Drosophila melanogaster: one gene and its partner. The protein of the gene in region 1 purifies or fractionates together with the protein of each later gene. This does not show direct contact. Each region holds a gene or a part of one and is shown on either strand. Other genes may lie near its edges.

Region 1 (8,233 bases):
AATACCCAATTTGAGCAGCTTATTTCGTTATTTCGTTTGATAATTAAAGCGACAATTATCGCACTCATACTTAAAGAGCTCTTTAAATTGCGTATACGCCCCGTCTGGCAATTGAAGGCAGTCGAGTGGGCCACGTGCGTTGGCAGGAAGTGCAGGGAGTGCAAGAAGTGGCCACAATTGCATTTAGCCGAACTAAAAACATTTACGAACGGCAAACACTGCGTGACAGAATGAGCGGAAAAGGCTTCGCCGGCGGTGCAGACAAGTCGCTCCAGATGGCACACAATAGACACTTAAATGGCAAAAGTTAAAATTACAATTAAACACAAAGTGAGAGACTGAGAAGCCGCGCAAAAGGTTGATGGTACACAGGGAAAAAAAATATAAATAGTCCTATCTTAGATTCTTTTGATGCTATTCAATTATAGTTAAGTTAAGAATACTTACAACACTAACACTCAGATGATATCCAACTTATTTTAATGTTTCATTTGTGCTTACTATAAGTATTCGATGAGCTATGAACTTTCAAGTAGCAAACTTATAATTTTACAAGCATATCTAAAAGGAATTTTAAAATCGTTATTAAAAATTTATATAATTTACCGTGGAATTGTATATTAAGTTTAAAAATTTAAAATGTATCTATCATTTCAGTTTTGCTCGGCATTTAACTAACATTGCATACCATTATTCATATAATTCGTTGGATAATATCCTCATTTCGTTTCCTGTACATGGATCCCTAGGCGGCATTCGGCAGGGTCATCGGATATCCTTCCGCTGCAGGAACTGCAGAAAAGAACAGCATGGTCCTGACAAATGCAAACAACTCGACGAAGTGAAGCCCCACGGAGCTGGGTAAATTGTTGGCTTAACAAATTGCTAATCCACTTTCACCGGGTGCTGGGATGGGGGATTGGATGAGGGGAAGGCATTTGAATGCCTGTCGAATCCTCAAAGTGGTGGGCAATCGGAGAGTCGCTTTGGCATCCATTCGAGACTATAGCCCCGGAAAAATCCCCTCTTGGCGAACTTTTTGCGCTCAGATCAAAGGGAGCATCTGTGTGATATGATTAGGTTGCAGTTGCACAACACCGAGATGCAAACTACATGAATTACAAGTTTGTGATTTAATCAAGATTGCATATCGTTTAAAGCCTCATAGTTGAGGTGTTGTTCTAGATTTGCATGTGAAGCAAGCGGAGCTGGCTAAAATATTTAAATTAAATTGCGTTCCGAGAATGTGCACTGCTTTCGGCACACTCAAAGGTCATTTCACTTGGCTTTCAAGAAAATTAGTTTTAAATTAATTAAAAGATTTTCCCATAACTGTGCGCTATGTGGCTCTTGATGGCGTTGGAGAGCCGAATGCCGAGCCAGAAAGAATGCTAAAACTTGGATAATCATCCCAGCACCGCACCGCCCACATTTCCAAGTGCTGGCCGACCTACCCGCACCACCGCCCACCGCCCAAGAACTCGGTTCACTTTTTAATAGTTCGCAAACCACGGAGGGCTATGTGAGTTTAAACACTGTTACAAATACTTTTCCGGAGGCGGAATGCGTGCGCCACTGGAGTTGCGAGGCAGGCGCTATCCAGAAAACTTTGCCTTTCGCTCTTTTTTGCCGTTTTCATGTAGGCCTTGAGTATTTATTTGCATTTCAACTTGGCGACGGCACAGCAATCGCTTCAGCAAAATTAAGCACTTAAATTATGCAGACACAGTTTAATTACAGTTCGCATTAGGCAGTAGTAACTATATAAGGAAGGATTATTCCCCTTTCCGCCTGCGGAAATTTAAGGATTTTAAGGATCCAACGGAAATGGTGCAATATGCAAATATTTCAAATCCATTTAGAGTTAATCAACAAATCGTCTTGAGTAACTGGAGACAACTGACGGTCATCGAGTTACTAAATAAATATTTTTGCAAGCATTTGTATGTTTGCATGTTGGCGTTGCGAAAGGAAATTAACCCGTGAGAAAGGACTTTGGCATACGAGGTACTTCAGACCGCCGTCAGCTGTTTACACTTTCATCCCCAATATTCACAGTTGCCTGCCAAAGAAAGTTACCAAAAATCCACAAAAAGGCTGGCTGACTTTACCTTCTAAACTCTTTCCTTACATTTTGAAGTCTAGTTACCCGACATTGGAAAAGTTAGCGAAACGTTACCTGTTGTGGATACATTTTTAGTCCCGAAAAAAGGTCGGTTAAAAGTTTTAATGGGTATTGCTTATACGGAAAATTTGGTAATCAAAGGAAATACGTTTTACACCATGTTTAAGACCCTGCTACATGTGTATTTATATATAAGATACCCATTAGTTTAGTTTCCAGTCACTTGAATATAGGGAAAGCATATGGGGAATCCCTAGTTATAAAGGTCCGCATGGGGTTGTTTTCCACGGCTCACTCGCTTGTTGCAGTAGGATTGGACGGCATGGTATGGATACAACCCCCGAGGAAGTCCGCCAGCTCTCTCCAATCGCTACCTGGCCCCTGATTAATTTAGTCTGGGTCTCTCACTTTGTTCTGTTCTGTTCTGTTTTCTTTTCCGCCAGGTACCCACAGGGTATACCATGACATGTGTTCCTCCATGAACTGGGTGTGGGTGGTGGTTACTTACCCAGGTAGTCCAGGGAAGGTGGTGCATTTCTAAGCGAGTCAAATTGAATGCAACGAAGAAGACCTGTGACATCAGATGTCCATGTTGTATGTACATGAACGTAATTAGAAAAGCATCGGTGTACAATGTGCATGGGTTCGTGTGTGAAAGCCACCAGGAAGTCCGAAAATATAAAAAGAGTAATTGCTAAAACCAACTGCAAGTCACAGTCTATTTGTTGCCAACTTTGATGCAAATCTGTTTGGAGCTGGCTCTCGAAATGCTCCCTAGATATTGTATGAAAAGGGTATTGGATTCAGGGCAAATGATGATAAACCGAAGTAGAGACACCCTTTTTTTTCTCAAATTTCAACACTTCATACACAATGGCAACGGCTTTAAGCCAAACTTCTTTACCTCCAATGGCGTTATTCTTGAGCCAAATCAATTGACAGGCTGAAAAGGAAACCATTTCAGCAGTCAAAGACTGCTGAGGAAATTAAAGAAATCTGACGGATTTCCATTGTCGACTTTTCCGCCCTCTGTCTGCCTGGCAATTGACCACTTTTGGGCTTGACAAAGGAGAAACAGGCCAGACAAAGGGGAAAAGCCCTCAAAGGAAATTCAACTTAATGGATTTTAAATGTTGAGGTTGATCGGCCCCTTTAAGAAGACCAATGTGTCCTGTTTACAAAACAAGGAATTTGTTACCAATTCAAATTTATGTTTTGTTTCCAATGAACTGGAGTTAAATATACTCACAGATACATTACAGATAACAAGGATTTAAATTGCATAACCATATCTCCAGTGTGCTTTAGAATCAATAATGAGCTGCTAACTATACCCTCTTAAGCTAATTAAAAAGATTAGCTTTATCGATCCACTAATATCACACCCGGAGCATTTGTTTTAATAGTTATGAATCTGAGTAATGTTAGCACGCAAGGATTGAAAATTGTACTGAGGAATAAGAAATTGTTTGGTGCACTCAACCCACTTTGTTTACCCCTGTGTCACAAATTAAAAACATTTGGGAATAACATGAACACAGTTTTGTATTAAAATAACATCCTCTTTTATAGCAAATCGTAGTGACTAATAGCCATTTCCTTCTTATATCGATCTCCCAAAGTATTTAACTCCGCCTTCCTTTGCATATCTGCAAATGTATGAGCTTTTCACACGCAACTTACTCGAATGGTAAATCATTGAGTTCAATTAGATTTATGCCCGAGAACGAGATTTATATATTTCTCAAAAGGATTTCTGTGGTCCCACACTTTTGAATAAAATTGCAGCCTTGTTGATTCTAGTTTTCCTTGGAATTGATTATCCCATACCTGTCGTCGGCGGCAGTTTGAAAAAACACCCCGAATCGCCTGCAATTTTCGAAACACCACCGAAAAACGAGAGCGGGAAACAAAACCAGACCAGACCAGACAGTCGTATAAAGAGAATATAATAACTGCAATGAGATCACTTCACTCACCAAAGAGCAGGATGATATATGCAGTTGCACTACACGATTATTCTGTTGATGAGTAGTTCACTGAGCACTTAAGTATATCTACAGAACCTTTTGACTTAACCCGGCAACGCCAGTAGTTTGGTTTGAAAACCGAATCGAGACAAAGACCGCAGCACTCGTTATGGCCATTTGGAGGACCTTTGTTCACTAACGTTCGGTGAATTCAATTTTGACAATTTTCAAGTGTAACTTGACGGCGGCGGCACAATTCACGAGATACAATTCCAACCGATAGAAGCGTTTTCCATATGAAGTATCTACGAGATGCGGCAAAAAATCCGAACAGCCAAGCGGTGCGGACTTTCACCCACGAACACAGACGGCAGCAAACTGATTGCCACGCGACTTTGAGCCACCGGCCAGAGCCAAAATAAAGCCACGAGCGCACAGACGAGCACGAGCCACCAGGACGTGAACCGGATTCGGCACTTCAAGCGGACTCCTCGTGGAAAAAGCGAGAGGCGCACGCCAACGATGGTGTGAGGACTGCGCCGAGAGAGCGGGCGAGAGACCGAGATGAGAGCGGGCACGGGCACCAAGGATGCAACGCATGGTGGTTGATTTCCCACCCGACGAGGGGGTGGCTGAAGTAGTTGGGTGGTGTGGAGGACATCCAGCGCGAATTGTCATGTTGTGACGCCGTCTGCTGCTAGTTTTACTACAGCAAGGCGGGCGAAAGGGGGTGGAAAGGCTGTTGCCGGCCAGTTGAACTCTTGGCCAGCTTAAATCCCGCATCTGCATGCTCAAATCTGTGTGCTGCCTACATAGATTGATATTGAATTTTGGTTGTAAACTGGGAAATTAACTAGGTAAATACTGATTCTGCTTGAAACTATGAATATGAACACAGTTTACCTATCATTTGTTATTTAAAAGCCTAAGCTTGAAAGCCTGAACGAAATATATTGCTTTTAAATATTTAAACCAATAAGTATTCAGATATTTTCAGATACCAATAAATATACATATATATTTATAAAAATAAAACCCGTACCTTATTTTAGAGGTAACTTTTTTTAATGAATGATGAACACTTCGCGTCGGTTTACTTGCAATACCGATCGGCTTTCATTTTACTGCGTCTATCCAGAAGAGTTTCATGCAAAGATCCCTGAGCTTTTGCCTGCTCGAGTTCTTTGACATCGTTCTGATTAATCCGCATCTTCTTGTCCTGGAACTTTTGAAATTTTTTCCTAAAAAATGCGAAAGGTTCGAAATTTGAAATGGGTAACGCGGAATTCAACCTTTTTAAGTCCTATAAATCATAATCATCAGCTGAACTTACACATAGTTCTTCTCGACTTCGCCCAAGTCTCCCTTTTCTTCCTTGGGCTCCGTATCGATGACCACATCCCTGCTCGCATTACTCCGCACTTTACAGATCTCATGCTGACCCACCTTCTTTCGCAATGCCACGCAGGCGTCGTCTTGGGGATCGATCGACATAAAGTGTCCGGTTTCGGATAGAAGAGCCATTCGTTGTTCCTTTAATTACGTTGATTAGTTTTATCGTTTCAAAACATTTGTATATAGGTAAGACTTACCTCAAAAACCGGCTCCCACTGCTCCATGCCGCCCACTGCTTCGGAGCGCCCCGTGACCATTCCATCCTTCTCAATTTTCAAGTACTTGCCATAGCCAGACTTAAACGCTACCTTTCGGTCGTTGATGGGAAAAGCCGTGAAAATCTCCTCGGGATCTGGGCCATCGCCAGCGTTGTGTGGTGCTCCCAATGTGAAGAGACTAAAATGTTAATGGACACCCGGTATAATTAAAGTACCAATGGGCAGATCTTTTTCACTATTACCCATTGTCCATGGCCTTTAGGTAACTCCTATCGCCAAACTCTATGGACACTGTACCGGTGATGTCGGCCGCTGTCTTTGCTGCCCACCAACCGCCGTGCTTCACGGCATCCTCATCCACTACTACCTTGGCCTTTTTGGAAGATCCAGCCTCATCCTTTTCCTTCTTGCGTTTTTTGCTCTTTCTACAAATCGAGAATTTCAATTGATGCTATTGGCAGATTTGTAGTTACATACTTGAGTTTCTCGCCTTTTAGAACCAATTTCTTAATGCGTGCATGATCGTAGTCTGACATCGTCACAAAATAGGTAAATTGTTGATATAGTTTTGGTTTACAACACAATAAACAAACATGCGATACAACATCGCAGATGAGCTGGTCTATCGGCTATCGATATCTTACCAATAAAATACTGTAAGCGTACATTTTAAAAAGTACGGACTCAAACCATTCATTAACTTGGTAAAAAAATTAAAATCAAATGATTTTTGATCTGTGAGAGATAAGACATATTTCATCTTTCATCACATACATATATTTATTCTCGTAATTCATTATATATTTGCTTACAAAAAGGAAATACAATCACGGCTGCTGGATTTGTTAAACTAAACAAAAGACTTAAACTAAACATTTGACTTAGATACATACTTTTATAAATTATTATTATAAATTATAAATAAATATGTGTAAATAATACGTTTCAAATAGCTTAAATAGGAAACATCTTATTTTCATATACTTTGGAAAAAGCGTTGGCATGGTCACATATAAGCTTGTAAATATGAATAAATACAACAAACAGGATCGTCCGTAAGTAAATAGGAATGCACAAATAAAGTATTCAACTCCATCACATATATCCTTCGACAGAGACATTTTGCCATTGGCCCTGAAATGGAGAGGGTATTTTTTTTTAATTATAAATTCAACCAACCCAATGTTTAGATTGCATACCGCAATGCCAAGGTTCCATCCTACGCCTGCAGGATTTTCCTCTGTAATTCCGCAGCGCCTGCAAATGATACCATTGAGGGAGATGGCCCACACCTCGGAGCCCACGGACACCGAGCGGAAGCCACAATGCTGATCCGTGTGCGGTGGCACATTGGCGGCATTGGGCAGAAACTGCCAGTGGGAGCCCTCAGGGAAAGTCCTCGAAATCTCCTTACGCACAGCCAAACGTTGCTGGTTGTCCAGCGCCCAAATCCCAGCCCGACCCACGCTTATCGCTTTAAAGGTCACACCCGCGGGTGCCTCCACTTGTTGCCAGGCATCGCCGCACGGATTCTGCCTGCTGATGCCATACCGGAAGAACACCATGCCGTTGCGCGCCACAGTCCACACCTGACCTGTGGGCCCCACGCTGATCCCAACTAACGGCTGGTCGCTGGTTATGTGCTCCCAGGCATCGCCACGAGGGTTTAAGCTGCATACACCATGCCGGATGAGGACATCACCATTGGAGGCAATCGCCCAGGCAGCCACTGCTGTGTTTCTCTCACCCGAACAGCTGTGATCCACATCTTCATCCAATACCTAGTAGGAAAATGTTTAAAAAACAACCATGTTGAGAATTTTTTAAGTAGAACCATACCTGCAGGGCAGCATCAAGGATTTTGGACTGACTAAGCTCCTGCCATGGTCCGCTGCTGCTAAGACGACATCGCTTCATCCATCTTCGTCGACGCACGCAATCTGTGAGTTTTTTGTGAGCATGGTAGTTGGCGGGGAAGTCGATGGCGTATTGCCAGCCCTCCTTGTCCGCGCCCCCAGGAATGTTGTAGTCAATGGCCCAATCGGAGATCCATTCGCAGTGCGTAGACAGCAGCTTGGTGTGCTCCTTGCTCCGCTTCTGCCGCCCAGTAGCATCGCTCCACATGTGCCGATCCGTCGGCAGGCTCTTCGCCGTGAAACCACTGATTGGATTCCAACGTTGATTTTCGTACACATAGTAGGTGTGTGTGTCAATCATTGGGTTAATTTTGCCGGACCCCTCCAAGCCCTTTAGGAACATTCCTCCCCAGCCTCCGTTGTAAACCCAGCCAGTGTTGTCACAGGATATGCCCCACACCACATCCACGCCGCTGTTGAAAATCCTCTTAATGTGACCGCCCATTTGGCGCCAGTGCATGCGCTCCATTGAGACAATTAGGGAGGGGCAGCGGTAGAGTACATTGAAAAGCTTAATACGGCCACTCACATAAAGCCGCGTCACGCTTTCCGGATCGATGCGGTACTTGTAGTCGGTATATACGGCATTGTTCACGATGATCAAGTAGT
Region 2 (6,492 bases), on another chromosome or scaffold:
GCAGCCATATCCTGGATATATCCGTATACGTACTTCGCGGGTGTTGATAAAGTGCGGCGATCTTCCCACAGAAGACTTGTATCTGAAAAAGTTCAGACCCTGGGGACGGTTTTCCAGTTCGCGATCATTAAGGCTATAGATAGCGAAACCAATGGTCAGACACTCCATTCCCATATTGCGCTTCGATCTGCGATTCTTTTGCATTAAGGCCACGATGACGGTGCACTGTCCCTCTTCGTCTTCCTCATCAGGATCGACTAGGGTGATAATATACTGGGGGTTGTGCCAGAAGGTATCCAGGAAATTGCGGCAACCACCAGCTGTAACACCGGGTGTCCATTCTCCCTCATACATGGACATCTCCCACTTTCGCTTGCCACTGTTTTGTTGGTCCTCGGTCAGTGAGTCCGGCGACAAATTGCAAATCTGAACAAAATCATGGCGAATGAATCATGAAATATTTCACCAAGAAATATTAATAGTCCTACCTCCACGCGATCGAAGTGGTTAAGAAAATCTTGGAAGGACATCCAGAACTCTCCGTCTCTGTCGAATGTTAGTCCAATCTCCGCCTTCTGTTCCTCGGGTATATAGCGCCATTCTGGTGAGCTATCACTCCATGGTCCATTCCACTCGGCTTCATTGCCCCAAGGATTTCGCATTCTTATCATAGGGATCTTTCCCTGACGATTTGGCGTTACTATGTCAATAAGGCAAACCTGTTGACATAAGATTAATTAATAAAATGTTCTTATCATAGCAATTTTCCGAACAAACCTTGGTTATGGAGTAAGCGTGACCACGGATTAAGCCCTGAGGAGTTTCTGCCTCCGTGACATTTGGATCAGGCTCAATCGAGCATCCCATCATGGAATTGCGTTCAGCTGCTTTTTGCAGAATGGTGAATAGATTGCCGGGTGCTTCTTTTAAATCGTACCACTCGGATACGCCGCCAGTAAAGTCCTCCATGGCCTCGCAAGTGCTGCCTCCCTTTAGTGCCTCGTAGGATCCATGAAGTCTAGAAAGCATATATACATCAGTTGACCATAAAGTATGTGAATAATGTAGTCCTACTTGGCATAAGCCTTCTCCAGCAGGGCGCTCCAGAACTCGTTCTTCTCCGTGGAGTGCATGTACATCAGCTCTCCATTATAAGTGGGCAAACGGTCATCAATGATTACATCAACCCATTTACCTTAAAATTTTAAACTAAAATTGTAAGAAGCGCATGAATAATTTTTTTAATAAATAATTTACCATACTGCCAAAAGCGGAAATGGAAGATACCAGCATAGTTCTCCTCGAAACTCTGTTCCGCTGGAATTACCCGAAAGAAAAGGTTGGATTCCTGAGTTAAATTGGCTGTGGCAGCCAAGAGCCAACTGTAAATGTAAGCATTTATTTAAAACTATTAATTATTCTGGCTGCGGAAATAGAGATTTTGTTCTTACCAGTCACCAAGCTCGCCTTGCTGAACATCAAAACGCGAATAACCCTCCACAAAAAACTGGGGATTCTCGGCAATTTCCTTTATAATTAAAGCATTTATACCTTTAGTTACGGGTAATATGGTAGTATCTAAAACTTACATGAGGTCTCAGCCATTCGATGTGACGATCTGGACGCCGGGAAAACTGAAGAGACTCGTTCGAAGCCGGAAAAAGTGGATCTTCGAAAAGGGAACCACTGGCCAGGCAGCTGTTCAATATTGTCTCATAGTCCTGCACCTCGGAATAGGGTCCCAGGCTCGAGCTCTTCTCTCCCAGCTAAAAAATACATGCTATTAGTGATATGAATCTAACAAAATTGATGAACTTGATTAAGAGTATTATGTATGTACACGATAAAGTTGTGTAATGGAGTTGTATAAACGATGATGCGTTTTACACTTTACATGCGAAAGAAAAAGAACACAAGGACAACACAGTACGACACTTTGGCAGCGCATTATCCTTGGAATGGAATTATGTCAATGCCATTACGATGACGGGAGTAGGTACTTACGTTCCCATAGTACAACGTACTATTACTTTGAGATTGCAATGGTTGCTAATGAGTGGAATGTATATGTATTTGTTAACATGCATATGTAGATTTCAATGGATTGTTTTCTATGTTTGTTTAGTATAGTATAGCGCCCTATAAATAACTGTTGATAACCGTGTGGGTCAACTTACAACTCTCATATTCTTGATGCTGGGCAGAACCCTCTTGGTGTCGGCCTCCTTCTTGATGAAGATCTCGTTGATCACCGATCCGACCACATCCTTGGCCGCTCCCATTGCAGCCTCACCAGCTGCATTGAGGAACTCCTGTCCCGCTTGCCTCAAGAATCCCCTCAAGTCGTCCATCGTGCAGATATCTGAAAATATATGTACATATATAGTTTAATATCAGTTAGCAGTGTAAGGTGCCGCCTCAGATTAAAAACCCATTAATAAATATTTATTGTTCAAACATTTGATGACTAGTTAGCAACATCCAATATTTTTTATATCGCCCATATTTACTTATAAGCCTCGCGGTGGAATTAAAAGCACACCCAGAGACATAAATATGGTTTAACGAGCATTACAGAATCGTTAGTATTCCCAGTGTGACTGGAAGTCGGGCTAAATGAAATTACTTTAATTCACGCAAACTGAAATTATACTTTGGAGACAAGAATGTCTCGGTTCGCACCCAAATATAATTCAAATGTTTCTACATATACAATGCTGTATTTATACATATGTAGCCGCTATATATATATGCTATATTGTGTGACATCATTCGGAAGCATGAGATTCTCTAGTGACTCAAAGGGTGTGCGCCATTCGGGAGATTAAGCTTCGTTTTTTATCCATATTAAGCCGGGATATTGACATTGACCCATGGAACTACTACATATGTACGACACATATAGGGTATATATTTCTGTGACAATAGTAAATTGGCCTTTAATTGGGGCGAAATATGCTAGATTGGCTGACCCATCTGTTATTGTATTTGCGAACATTGGTAATTCTACGGCGAAACCCAAACAGGTTTGGTAATTAATGCATTCTTCTGGCCTGGCTCATTCCCGTGACCACCATATTTTCGTAAAGAATAGTATATTCGTCATAGGCACTTGATATTTCTAATACTATATATATTTGCCCATTTTCCAACGGACCTTGATTGGTCGAGAGAACGATTTCCGAATCGAATCACGCACTTTCACTCCCCAAAATCACAGCACAACAATAAAGTAACGGAACCACGCACCTTCACCGCACGGAGATATTTACTCACTACAAATATTTATATCTGTAGCTCAACACCTGACTGCTATCGAATGTTTTGGTATTTATTTTTATCGAAGTATTTTGCCGAAATTTGTGATTTGCCAGCCCTATTTCAATGTAAATATATCGATAATCGCCCGATTTTACTGAAAAATATTTCGATAAGAGCATCGATATTTCAAACAAATATCGACCCATTGACATGCGTCAGGTTTGTCCATCCCTAACAAAATCGTAGTACGAAATATCGAAAACGAAACACATCACGCGGGCGAAATTTCGTGAAGTTCAGCATTTACAAATTGTAAGCAGTGGTTTTATCGAACCCATTGACCAATTAGTGGGCTTCTAAAATTAGTGATAGACTTTATTAAATGAAACGAGAAAATAGAGGCGAATACACCCGTACAGCAAATTGACCATCGATTTTTTCACGGCATTGCCGGTGACGAGAATGCGACGCCGTTCATACACACACACGCACGGACACGAATGTGTGTATATGGCGCGGCGCTTGTGTGTGAAAGTGTATTCGTATAAATAATATGACATAATCGACGTGTGCGGCTTAATTGACATAGTTTTTGTGCGAAGAATACCTAAAAGTGCGAAGAGAGCGCCAAAAAAGGCGTTTTTTGTTTGTGGTCAAGGTGGCAAAAAGGACTTGCACCGCTATTTTCCCCTGCGCTTTGCTCCAAATATTCGTTCCTCCCCATACACTCTCTCGCACACACACAAGCGTGTATATTTGGGCGTTGCAGGATGAAGAACTCTCTTTCTCTCTCCCACTTTCCTTCGCTCTCTTCTCGTATTCTCTTGAACACTTTTGCGCAATTTGAGTGATTTGCAAGGCAAACTAATGCTTTTCGATTGTTTACCGAATTTAGTTAACCCCGTTTGGAAGCCAGTTTGTCTGGAAGTTACTTCAGTTTAGTTGTTTTCAACATCTCCACTTGACGTTGCCTAACACTGCCCGCCCTCTCTCTCTCGGCTTCTTTGCCACTGTCCGTGCGCAGTTCTCTTTTGCGCTTCATTCGTGCTCTGCCCGTCGGACGTGTCCGTACGATTTTGGATTAAGTTCTCGTAGGCAATTCAACTTGAAATATTTATTCGCTGCGGTGCAACTAAAATTTAATTCAAAGAATTAAAAGTGCTAAGTGCTGTTAGGAGCGGCAATTTTGCAAAAAAAAAAATATTAACAGTTATTTGGTGTAGTGCAAGAAGCCCAAAAGAGAACAAAATTATTTATTTTAAACATATTGCATTCAAGGCAATAAAAAGTTAAATCTATTAAAATTTTCTACCCTCTCCCTCCCCTTTTATTGATAGTCTCCCTCTGTGGCGTATGTGTGTTTGTACGAATTAGCGGCTGAAAACCAAAAACCGAGGTGCGAGAGCGAGAATACATTTATAAAAAACGCGTGCGTTTCTCCTCTAACACATACAGTGAGTGTGACCGTTGTATTTGTGACCTGTGCCTGTGTTAGCGGCCACTGGAGGATCAACGAATTTAAAAGAATACTAAAAGTACCGGTGAGTATTCTTGCATCTACCGGATGATGTGTTATAATCCCGTTAAATAGTGAATGTCCCCTCGTGCCCTGCATTCGTTTTAACCGTTATGACGATGAGCGGCAATTCGGCCGGTGACGCCATCTTTTGTGCTTCTCTAATAAGTGTTGTTTTTGTTTTTTGGGTTTGGTCAAGCTCACGCAACACGGCGTGTGTGAGTGAGTAGTGTGTCTATTTTGTTGTTATGCTTCATAGACAGTGGCGAAACTACAGATTATTATTCAGGGGTCATAAATGTCATTTAAGATCAAGAACATATTATATTTAAATTTATCCGGAAATATGAGCAAATGTTTAAGGTGTAGCACCACATTGACCCCCATTCAGACGCCACTGTTTGAGCTTCTAGTTCTAGCCACTTTTCTTCTCTCTTTCTCTTTTTTCGGGTGGGTGTGATTGTGTGTGCGTGTGCTTTTCCTTTCCATATGATTCATGCTTCTTTCTACCTCCGGCTTTCTATGCGCTTGTCAGATTAAAAAAAAAACCCATTTTCCAATTCTCGTCGCTGATTTTATTCATCTTTTATTTGGCAATTTGTTGCGAATGCCACTTGCAAATCTCTAGCCGTGTGCCTAATGCACTTGGGCAATAAATCCGCCTGCTGGCGCGCATCTGTGGGCAAGTTTCATGACCCACTTTTCCTCCTTGGTCTCTCGCCTTTCAGCAAAGTAAATAGTGAAAAGCAGCAACAAGTGATAAACAGATTTGTAAATATTGAAAACTTGTTTATGCCATTTGTCAGTGCAACCCAATGCCTACAAAATAGACTTTATAGGTATCGGAGGTAGTTCTTGATACTCAGTCAGTTCGATTTTTAAATTTTTTGTTGTCATTCAGAGCCCATCTTGATATTTCTGTAATTTATTGTAATCTTGAACGAATAGGAATTGATAACCTTTTACTTTAATTATTCTTTAACCCAATTCAATGCGCTATGCTTAAATGAAACATTACGCTTATAGAATTTAATATAATTTAAATTAGCAATGTTTCCTATAAAACTTTGTTTTATATATAGCCTTCTATAGATGTTCTTATGCAAGTCATAGGAGTTCGATTGTGTGTGTGCTCTCCCGCAATCTTATCAGAACCTTCGCGCTGGTTACGTTTTCTTGTTAGATTGCTGTTTCTATACAAGTACCTACATATCCACATTACAACAAGCCAACAACATTCCCAATTTAAGTTATAAGGAATTTCTCCTTTGCCACCAACTAACTACCTACCTATTTACAACATTCTTCGATTTCTATTACCTTACTTCCTGTTCTATATACTCATCATATCAAATTCGAGCATTCCATTTGCCTTAGCTACATATTTTGCGATACATGACGTCATTTCGCACACATTGCTTATAAAAAAGGTAAAAAAATAAAATAAAAATTTGCTCTTTTTGTTTGCTGGCTTTTGTTGCTAATTCGAATTTACTCATAGAAATACATGGGCAGTGGGCTTTATTTATTCATTGCTTATGCTGCCTCCCCCTTTATCACCCCTTATCAAGCTTTTCACTTGTTCCTCTTGCTCTGTTGTCCGTTTTCAATTCGCAAATTAGACGTGACTCGTTGGTTGAGGGTTTCAATTGAGGTTTTTTGCACACCGCAAGTTGCATTTAGAGAATTTTCGAAAATCGTTGAGGCATTATTTG

Evidence for each region. The genes of interacting proteins can lie anywhere in the genome.
Region 2: the proteins of gogo (region 1) and hts purify together in Drosophila melanogaster (affinity purification with western blotting; one study listed by BioGRID). This does not show direct contact.

Annotation. Positions count from the first base shown.
Region 1 is NT_037436.4:20,290,657-20,298,889, forward strand, and holds the start of gogo (golden goal), read right to left. Parts: upstream 4,478-8,233; 5' UTR 4,105-4,477; intron 497-4,104; exon of another isoform or gene 448-496; intron 293-447; exon of another isoform or gene 46-292; intron 1-45. Other genes in the region: FRG1 (FSHD region gene 1), read right to left, coding at 5,189-5,336, 5,429-5,628, 5,688-5,886, 5,951-6,133, 6,186-6,244; Pex23 (peroxin 23), read right to left, coding at 6,804-6,842, 6,908-7,489, 7,548-8,233.
Region 2 is NT_033778.4:19,421,904-19,428,395, reverse strand, and holds the start of hts (hu li tai shao), read left to right. Parts: upstream 1-3,492; 5' UTR 3,493-3,573; intron 3,574-4,281; exon of another isoform or gene 4,282-4,598; 5' UTR 4,599-4,802; intron 4,803-6,492. Other genes in the region: CalpA (Calpain-A), read right to left, coding at 34-426, 489-719, 778-1,018, 1,075-1,195, 1,258-1,382, 1,452-1,528, 1,590-1,766, 2,005-2,049 and 1 more. UniProt on the Drosophila melanogaster protein: Required for assembling actin at ring canals in developing egg chambers. Probably interacts with other developmental proteins involved in nurse cell/oocyte transport through the ring canals. Important for normal neuromotor function.